2 linked regions of the Xenopus tropicalis genome follow. The protein of the gene in region 2 interacts with the protein of the main gene of each other region in a pairwise test. Links are inferred from orthologs where the notes say so. Each region holds a gene or a part of one and is shown on either strand. Other genes may lie near its edges. The genes, in order: pex7 and phyh.

What was found.
Region 1: the proteins of phyh (region 2) and pex7 interact in a two-hybrid assay, tested with the Homo sapiens proteins (2 studies listed by BioGRID, with this or other methods). The link is inferred for Xenopus tropicalis from reciprocal best matches to the Homo sapiens genes PHYH and PEX7.

The regions. Positions count from the first base shown.
Region 1 is NC_030681.2:58,621,862-58,626,219, reverse strand, and holds the start of pex7 (peroxisomal biogenesis factor 7), read left to right. Parts: upstream 1-1,278; 5' UTR 1,279-1,354; coding exon 1,355-1,484; intron 1,485-4,358. UniProt on the Homo sapiens protein: Receptor required for the peroxisomal import of proteins containing a C-terminal PTS2-type peroxisomal targeting signal. Specifically binds to cargo proteins containing a PTS2 peroxisomal targeting signal in the cytosol.
Region 2 is NC_030679.2:81,828,073-81,832,668, forward strand, and holds the start of phyh (phytanoyl-CoA dioxygenase, peroxisomal), read left to right. Parts: upstream 1-1,514; 5' UTR 1,515-1,857; coding exon 1,858-1,926; intron 1,927-4,596. UniProt on the Homo sapiens protein: Catalyzes the 2-hydroxylation of not only racemic phytanoyl-CoA and the isomers of 3-methylhexadecanoyl-CoA, but also a variety of other mono-branched 3-methylacyl-CoA esters (with a chain length of at least seven carbon atoms) and straight-chain acyl-CoA esters (with a chain length longer than four carbon atoms).

The sequences.
Region 1 (4,358 bases), on a different chromosome or scaffold from region 2:
GCACTATCATCTTAAAGTGATAGTGAGACTGAAAATATTAAAAAGTTACCTATAGGTCACACTGATCATTTTTCTTTGATAGGTCTGCTTTTGTAAGTGTTACTTAAAGTTACTAAACCTGACTGTCCCTGCTCAATCTGTCAGTTATAGTTTTTAATGCTAATGGACTACTGCTGCTGCACAAATTTTGCAGCCCCCTCATAAAAGAACATGGGAGATCAGATGCCTAATGTAAAATCATCAGACAAATACTTTCAATGCTAAATTCTAAATCGCATGCAAAGATAATGTTTTGATAGATGTAAAAAGGTTTCATTTCTGGTGTCAATTTCTCTTTAAGGGTTGAAATAAAAAAATATTCTACAACAGGTAAAGGGATGCTGTCATGGGTTTAAATATAGAATATATATTAAATATATAGTTTAAATATAGAACTCCTGAAGCAGAATCCTGTGTTTAAGTCATGTTAATTAAGCAAACAATTAAGCAAATATTTATTTTTATCTTCCTGGCTTTTTATGTCCCCCCAGCTTTGTAAACTGAGCTCTAATAAGCTGCAAGTTGTGGTAATGGTAACACCCCTTAACCTTACCTGCTGATGTAAACAGAGCCCTGTCTGGTCAGCCTGTCAAGAAAACAATTGCCAGGTTACAAAGTAGCTCATCCAGACACCCCTCAGGATTTAAGCTAACAAAACGGATAGGAGATCCGTGACTCTGCCAGAACCTAATTTCTCATGTTGTGCATTGTTTGTGCGCCAGACAACTAAAATAGAAAATGATGTTTATGTACACCGCATGGAGTAGCGAATAACTTATGGCTCCGTTCCAGGAGCCTCCGATTTGATCATTGCAAATCTCAAAATGCGGGCCTTAAGAAAATACCTAATGTACCCATTTATTAGACCGGTAAAACATTAAATCGGCAAAAATTAGCAGTGACTTAAATAGCTTGTATATTGAGCTAATTACGGTAAAGAAACAACGTACTTGAAAAGACAAGCTCCGCTCACAAGACCCAACACACCGCAGTAGCCACCATTTTCTATCGCCTTCTTTCTCCTCCTTTGGGCTAAACTTTGAGCAGGAAGGGGTGGAACAAGAAGCTATTGGTACCAAAACGTCACGTACATATGATGATATTCTCTTATTCAAGATCAGCGCAACGCTCGGTAAACCTATGAAGTCGCCATATATCCTCTTATTTTCTAGAAACATGGGCAAAACATTCATTTTACTACGCGCTTTCCTCGCGTTCTGAAACTGCGTCACGTGCCAGCAGGTGTGACGCCACTTCCCGCTGAAAATTGCGGGCTGCTTGGGTTGGTAGGTCTAGTGGGTTACGTACTCAGGGAATGGCAGTCTCGGGAGATGGAAGACTCCATGCAGTCCGCATTCCCGACAGGCATGGTTATGCGGTGGAGTTCTCGCCTTACAAACCCTCCACTTTGGCATGCGCTACCTCACAAAACTATGGCATATCAGGTGAAGCATCTGCTCGTCTTTACTTTAACTCAGTGCTGTGGCTCAACGGTGGTGACTAAAAGTGTATATATTTCTTCGGAAATAAAGTTAATTTCATGTTTTTTTTTTTAACTGGAATATTTGTAATACTGGGCTGGCTGTTTTTTTTAATTTGTATAGTAAGAGGTCTTGCAGGAATTGATTTGTTTTTATTGAATTTTTTTTTTGCTATTCTACTCCTTCCATTTTAATAGAGTACAACTGGTACATTTTCAGTTGTTTTATGGGGAACTCAGATTGTATGCTCTATTGTGACACAAAATGAAGAAAGATATGAAAAATAAACTGGGCATATCAATAAATAATGCATTACATAATTAAAAGGTATTTATAACGTTACCAGTTAGGCAGGTTACATTTAGGTGTGTCTTTTTTCAACCTATGTTACTATGTAGTGCTGCTACTAAATGCAGTGCGGTAAACTTAACAGTATGTGACAAGTACAAAGAAGGAAGACAAACTTTGCAATAAATATTATGTAGACAGACAGAAAAAAATACTTGCTTACTTGCAAGCTTAGATACAAAGGAGTAAGAAGGACCCTGCCCTATAGAGCTTACAATTGGAAGTGGGTGGATAACATACAGGCATAAACAGAATGCTGCTGTGCACAGAGGTTTGGCTGTTGGCCCTTAAGAGCCAAGATAGAACCACATATTGGTCTACTACTCCAAAAGATAACATTTTCAAGATTCATTTATTATCAATACAAACCATATACAACTTATGGAAATTAAGTTTCTCCAGGTCCCCATGGTGCATTCCTTTAAGAATAACAACAACATAATGAAAAAACATATAGTACAAGGACAGATTTAAACTGACAGGTGCAATTGGTATTTTATATGTTTAAATGGTATTTGTAAAAGTTCAATGTAGCAATGGACTGAACTTTGACAGGCAGTTCTTTATAACAGTATTGAGTTTACAACTCTAATTGCTTGTTGGAAGAAGCTTTTGCAGTGTCTAGCAGTTCTAGTTTGAATGCTACGGAACCTTCTTCCAGACGGCAAGAGGGAGATAGTGTGTTTCTGGTAGAGTTGGGAGATGGGTCAGAGAGGGTCTCCTTTGATCCTTTCCACTGTTTTCACTATTCGCTGTAAGGACTTTTGTTCTGCAACAATGCAGTTTCTAAACCAGACCGAGATGTAGCTACAGAGAACATTCTCAATGGTACCTCGAGTACCTCATTTGAGTTACTTTTTGAAGAGGCTGAGTGTGTGTCCCTTAAAGCATCTGTATGCCTCCTTATATAACATTGGTTCATTGAATAGAGTTGGTACTGAAATATTTTTTGTCTGTTGCTTAAAAAAGCTATGGTATTTAGTTCTTGAGCTAAACATGGTAAAATTTGGAAATTAAGCTCAACTAATATTCTACTTCCTGGTCCCAATAAGTCAAACTATATTTGCTGCCCACTGAAACGCATTTGTATAAATGAACCCCTTCCCCCAACTACAGCATGTTTTTTATATGCTTTTTTTTTTTATAGAGGTTTTTTAATGGACTGCTGATTTGTTTTGCCTCACTGGGACCAGAAAGTTACTTAGTTTTGCTTTCAAAATATGCCCTATTTATATAAAGATATAACAATTATAGATATTTATAATAAAAATAATAGCCAAAAGCATGTTCAGCACAATCCCCATTCTCTAAACTCATGTTGAACAAGGGGTATACTGTCCCTTTAAAGGTAGAAATTTAGGGATGCAATTCCAGAGGTAAGAAGCAGCACCCTAGGAGAATGGATTGGTTAGCAGTAGGTTGGAGTAGTCTAAGTGGGATAGAATAAGGTCATAGATGAGTGTTATCTCATTGCTTGAGAAAGAAAGAGGGTCTAATACAATGGTGTTAATGTTATGTGAGGACAGACATTTTCATAGTAGTAGTAGATATAACAGGAGAAAAAATGGCCTTGGTTTTTTTGTTTGCATTCCTCTTCTGCCTTTTTTCAGCTTTCAAATGGTGTCTTTTCTTCTTTCTATGTAGACCCTCTCCTATTTATCTTCATGTGTCTCATTCAAACAACTGCCTGGATCCTAGGGTCCCTGGCAACCACATAGCTACTAAAATTTCAAACTAAAGACCTGCTAAACAAAACGATAAGTCAGTGCTGTCCAACTTCTGTGGTACTGATGGCCACAACTTTTCGGGAGGAGGAACGATAATAGAAGCCAGTTTTAACCACTCCCCTTTTTTAAACTGCAACTACTCCAGACCACACCCATGTTCTCGCAAGAGTTTTTAAGACCATACCCACACTAATGGTGGTAGCGCAGCAAAAACCTGAATGGTTGGAACTCACATTAGGGATATCATCATTCATTCATATGTGACAGAATTATATTATATCATATTAAGACATACCCTTAAATCCATATGCCTCCTTCCCCCTATGGATAGCACAGCAAGGTCCAGCATATAATTTTACGCACCTAAGAGCCCATATAATGACTATTCCCAAATGCTAACAAACTTCCAGAACAAACCCCTGCCAGGTTCACCTCCCACAGGCAGCATAGGGCAGGCAGAGTTTGGCACACACAGGAAAGGTAGGGCAGCCCGAGTATGGCACACACAGGCAGCATAGTACAGGCAGAGTTTGGCACACACAGGAAAGGTAGGGCAGCCCGAGTATGGCACACACAGGCCGCATAGGACAGGCAGAGTTTGGCACACACAGGAAAAGTAGGGCAGCCCGAGTATGGCACACACAGGCCGCATAGGACAGTCAGGGTTTGGCACACCTGTACAGGCAAGGTAGGGCAGAGAAAAGACTGAAATGCAAAATCCTAAGGCATCCCCACACTAAAGGTGGCCATATACTATAAAATC
Region 2 (4,596 bases):
TCTGACCTGAAATCGGCCGGATCTCGGCCAGATCCCGGACCAACTTTTCCTATACCCATCGTTATAATTCGATCGTTTGGCCCCAGCGACATTGCCAAGCGAGCGGATCTGAAGGTGTATGGGCACCTTAAGATCACTATAGCAAATGGATAAAGAGTACTTCATTAACCCGAGACATACCAGTAAGATCTTTGTAGAAAATGAAGAACAAACATTGCATTAAGCCTTAAGGTGCCCATATACGTTAAGATTCGCTCGCTTGGTGAGATCGCCAAGAGAGTGGATCTTCACCCAATATCCCCACCTACGGGTGGGCGATATTGGGGAGCGTGTAGGCTAATTCGATCGTTTGGCCCTGGAGCCAAACGATCAAATTATATTGGCGGCAATGGGACAGTCGGTTCAGGGACCGCATCAACGAGCCGATGAGGTCCCCGATCCAACTAGATTTTCTAACCTGCCCGATCGAGATCTGCCCGATTTCAGGATTTACAGCAGTGTTGATATTGCTCCGTACATGATACTTTTAGTCGCAGATTGAATTGCCGTCTGGGTTTCGGCTGTACGTTCGAGCACGCACTGCTGGCTCGGTAAGTGCTCCCGTGAGTTTCTATAAAAAACAGATATCGGTTGGGCAGGCCCATTGGTAGTCCCCATACACGGGCCAATTAGCTGCCGAATCGGTCTAAGGGACCGATATCAGCAGCTAGAATCGTCCCGTGTATGGGGACCTTTAGATCAGATGCCGTTAGTGAAATCACACCCAACATTACAACTGACAAATTGGCTGTTTGTATTTTTACATTGATTTTCTAGTATAGTCATGGCAGAGTGTTTTAGTTAACTGCAGATGTCTGGCAAAAAAAAACCCAAAACAAATTTATATGCAGTGGGCCTTTAAATTAAACAATTCACCAACTTAGAAATCTGCTGTATCACAAACTTTTTTAGTGGTGTATGGTACATATATATTAAAGTGTGTGAAATTATATAAAACATGACTTCCACACATTTTGAATACATTTTCCTCACCAAACCAAGACCCTATGGATGTTTTTAAGGGTATTTTATTAGTCATCGCCGATTTTTTAGTTAAGTGAGTTTACACTACGCGCATTTTCTCCTATAAGGGATCTTAACAGATTTACTTTTGCCCAGTTGAGAGAAATGAGGGCAGCAAGAGACAGGAGTAAAATATTTGCAGGGGAAGAGGGGACGGCTGTTCCCAGGAGAAGGAGCTCACAGATTACTTTTTGCAGGGAACGAGTGACTTGTTTCTAAGTGAAGAGGTCGACACTGAGAGACTACAAAGGAATCACTACTGTACTGACCTTTGCTGTCAGTCTTCCACAGTAAATCTAGAAAAATGTGCAGGAGGGACAAGGAGATTTCTGATAACTTGAAGGGAAAATCCGCCAATGCCCTCTCACACAGGGCTGTGCCTTAGGACGTGACGGTGAGTGCAGAGGTTCAAAGTTAACTACAAACTATCCAGTAACACCACACGTACGCACAGCACGTTTGTGAGAGAAGCTATACAGTATATACTTAGCCAGGTTTAACAGTGGACAGCTTCAGGGAGAATGAACTAGCTAACCGCAGCTAGCGCCTAACTGCTGCCAATGGTTTCCCCCTCCCCTCCCATAAAACTCCTGCATTATTCTATGGTTCAAAAGGCCGTTGTGTCTCTTTCACTGCCTTGCACTGAGGACTCTGTCGTGGGCGGCGCAGTAAGAGAACTGTATAGGAGGGGCTTAGGAAAGACAAATGTGTCATAAGTAACTAGCACAGGTCTGACCAGCCTAGTGGCTTAATCCTTTTCAGGAAGGAGTGATCTGTGCCGTTGTTTTCAGGAAGATGCAGGCTTACAGACGCAGTTTCGTCCCGGGAAGCGCCGGCCGCCTCGCAGTCCTGCAGCGCCACCTCGTATCCTTTGTTATGGAGAGAGGCCAGTGACAGGCCTATGTGTGACAGTGCTTACCAGCTGTCATGGGGGTCCGGGGACTATGGAGGGTATGCACGTAGCCATGCCCTGTAATCTGAATAGTGTCAAGTATCTAATACCTGTAAATCTACTATGGTTTGGTATTTGGACTACTTGGGCATTTCTGTTGACGTTGTTTATCTAGAAAGCATGCAGGCACTCTCACATAAACAAACATTTATTTTTTGAAAAAATGAAAGACAATGTAATTCTAAACAGCTTTCCATAACAATGCTTTGAATTGAAAGGTATATGTAATTACTTCTGAAAGCTTCAGATGTCTACTTGTTTATATTCTCTGAGTTCCTTGTTCTGACTTCTAAAATGTCCTGTCACATTGTTTTAGTAGTCAAAACTGGAGAACAGAAAAGGATAAACACCTTGAAAGATGCTCAACTTTGTGTTAATTTTTAGTGTGATGTAGAGAGTGCTATACTGAGACAATTTGCAGTTGGTCTTCATGCTTTATTCTTTGCATTTTTTTTAATTATTTCTCTTATTGTTCAACAGCTCTCCAGTTTGAAAGTTCCGCAGCTATCTGGTTGCTAGGGTTTAAATTATCTTGGCAACCATGGAGTAGTTTGAAAGAGAGACTGGAGTATAATTAGGAGAGAGCCTAAATAGAAAAATAAGTATTAAAGGGCACCTATCACCCCTATATTGTTTCCTCCACCAGAGCTGCGGGCTAATAGAGCCTTCACTCCGGTTGGGAGAAACAATAGTTTTCTGTGTAGGAGGGTGATTTACATTCACAGCTTCTAGGTCAGGCGAATGTGAATAGTAAACGCGTGGTAGATCACTTATTATTCTCATGCATGTGCCCCAACATGGCTGCCTGCACCAGGGGCTCCCTTCTGGTGCAGGTAGCGCAGCACTGGCAGGGGCAGATTTTTTTAAAAAAAATATTGTTTCCCCTATCTGAAGTGCGGGCTCTATTAGCCCCACCTCTGGTGGGGGAAAAAATATAGGGGTGATAGGTGCCCTTTAAGGAGAAACAATAACAATAGTTTTTTGGCTGCTGGGGTCAATGACCCCCATTTGAAAACTGGTAAGAGAAGGAAAATAATTCAAAATCAATAAAAATGAAGCCCAACTGAAAAATTGCTTTAAAATGGGCATTCTACAACATACTAAAATGTAACTTAAAGGTGAACCACCCCTTTAGCAAATAATAACATTTCTTTTACTTTTAAAAAACAGTATTCAGATGGAGGACCCCTTTAAGAGACGTAATACAATTTGCTAATGGAAAAAAAGTATCTGCAATATGACCTTTTTCATGTATGTTTTGCTATGTTTAGCTCCTCGTCTGCCAGAGCAAAAATATTGTGCATTTGTATTTATGCCAGTTTCTCTGATCAGAGAAAAAAAACCCCAAAAAACAGATGGAAAAAACAGGGTTAAATCACAGCTAGCTGGAGCTCTGTATTCCTCAGTGTGTGCCGTTGTATGATGAGTGGGCATGTTCCACTCTGCTACTGTTTTGTTCCTTATCTTTGCCTGACGTCCTCGCTCTTATTAGGGCTCTGGCACACAGGGAAATTAGTAGGCCGCGACAAAACTCCATGTTCGCGGGCGACTAATCTCCCCGAGTTGCCACGACCCGCCATCCCACCGGCGAACATGTAAGTCGCCGGCGGGATGGCACATGCGGCGGCGCGATTTCCCGAAATCGCCAAAAAAGACTTGCAAGTCTTTTTCGGGAAATCGCGCCGCCGCGTGTGCCATCCCGCCGGCGGGATGGTGGGTCGTGGCAACTCGGGGAGATTAGTCGCCCGTGACAAGGGAGATTTGTTGCGGGTGACTAATCTCCCTGTGTGCCAGAGCCCTTAGATCGAATTATATTGGCAGCAATGGGGCAGTCGGTTCGGGAACCGCATCAACGAGCCACTGCGGTCCCTGATCCGACTGAATTTTCTAACCTGGCTGATCCATATCTGGGCAATTTCAGGCCAGATATTGGTCGGGCAGGCCCCTCGTTGCTGCCTCAACACGGCCCGATAAGCTGACGAATTGGTCCAAGGGACCGATATCGGCAGCTACAATCGGCCCGTGTATGGGGACCTTAAGTCCCGTGCTTGTTTTTTCTGGTATGGGACATTACCTGCTTTTGTTTTGTTTTTTTTTGTTTTTCAAGTCTCAGTCGTCTGCTTTTTTCACATTAGGACAGTCATTGGCTGTGTAGGTTTACAGGAAGAGTTTTTATAAGTTTATATTGCAATTTTGGTCTAAATAACACACGTGGATTATGATTTTTTACTTTATATCCACTTTAAAGGATTTTTATGGTGTACTTTTTATTTCTAAATTATACTGTTTACATAGCAAATAATTCACTCTACCATTTAAAATTGTATTCTTGAGCCAACAAATGTATTTTTTTAGCTGTAATATTGGTGTGTAGGCAGCCATCTCAGTGCATTATGCCTGAGTCTGAGCTTTCAGAAGGAGCCAGCGCTACACTTAACTGCGTTCAGGCAACCTATTGTTTCTCCTACTCCCATGTCACTGGAGGAGTCCCAAGCTGGACTTGGATTTCTTACTCTTAGGGCTCTGGCACACGGGGAGACTAGTCGCCCGTGACAAATCTCCCTTGTTGCGGGCGACTTTAT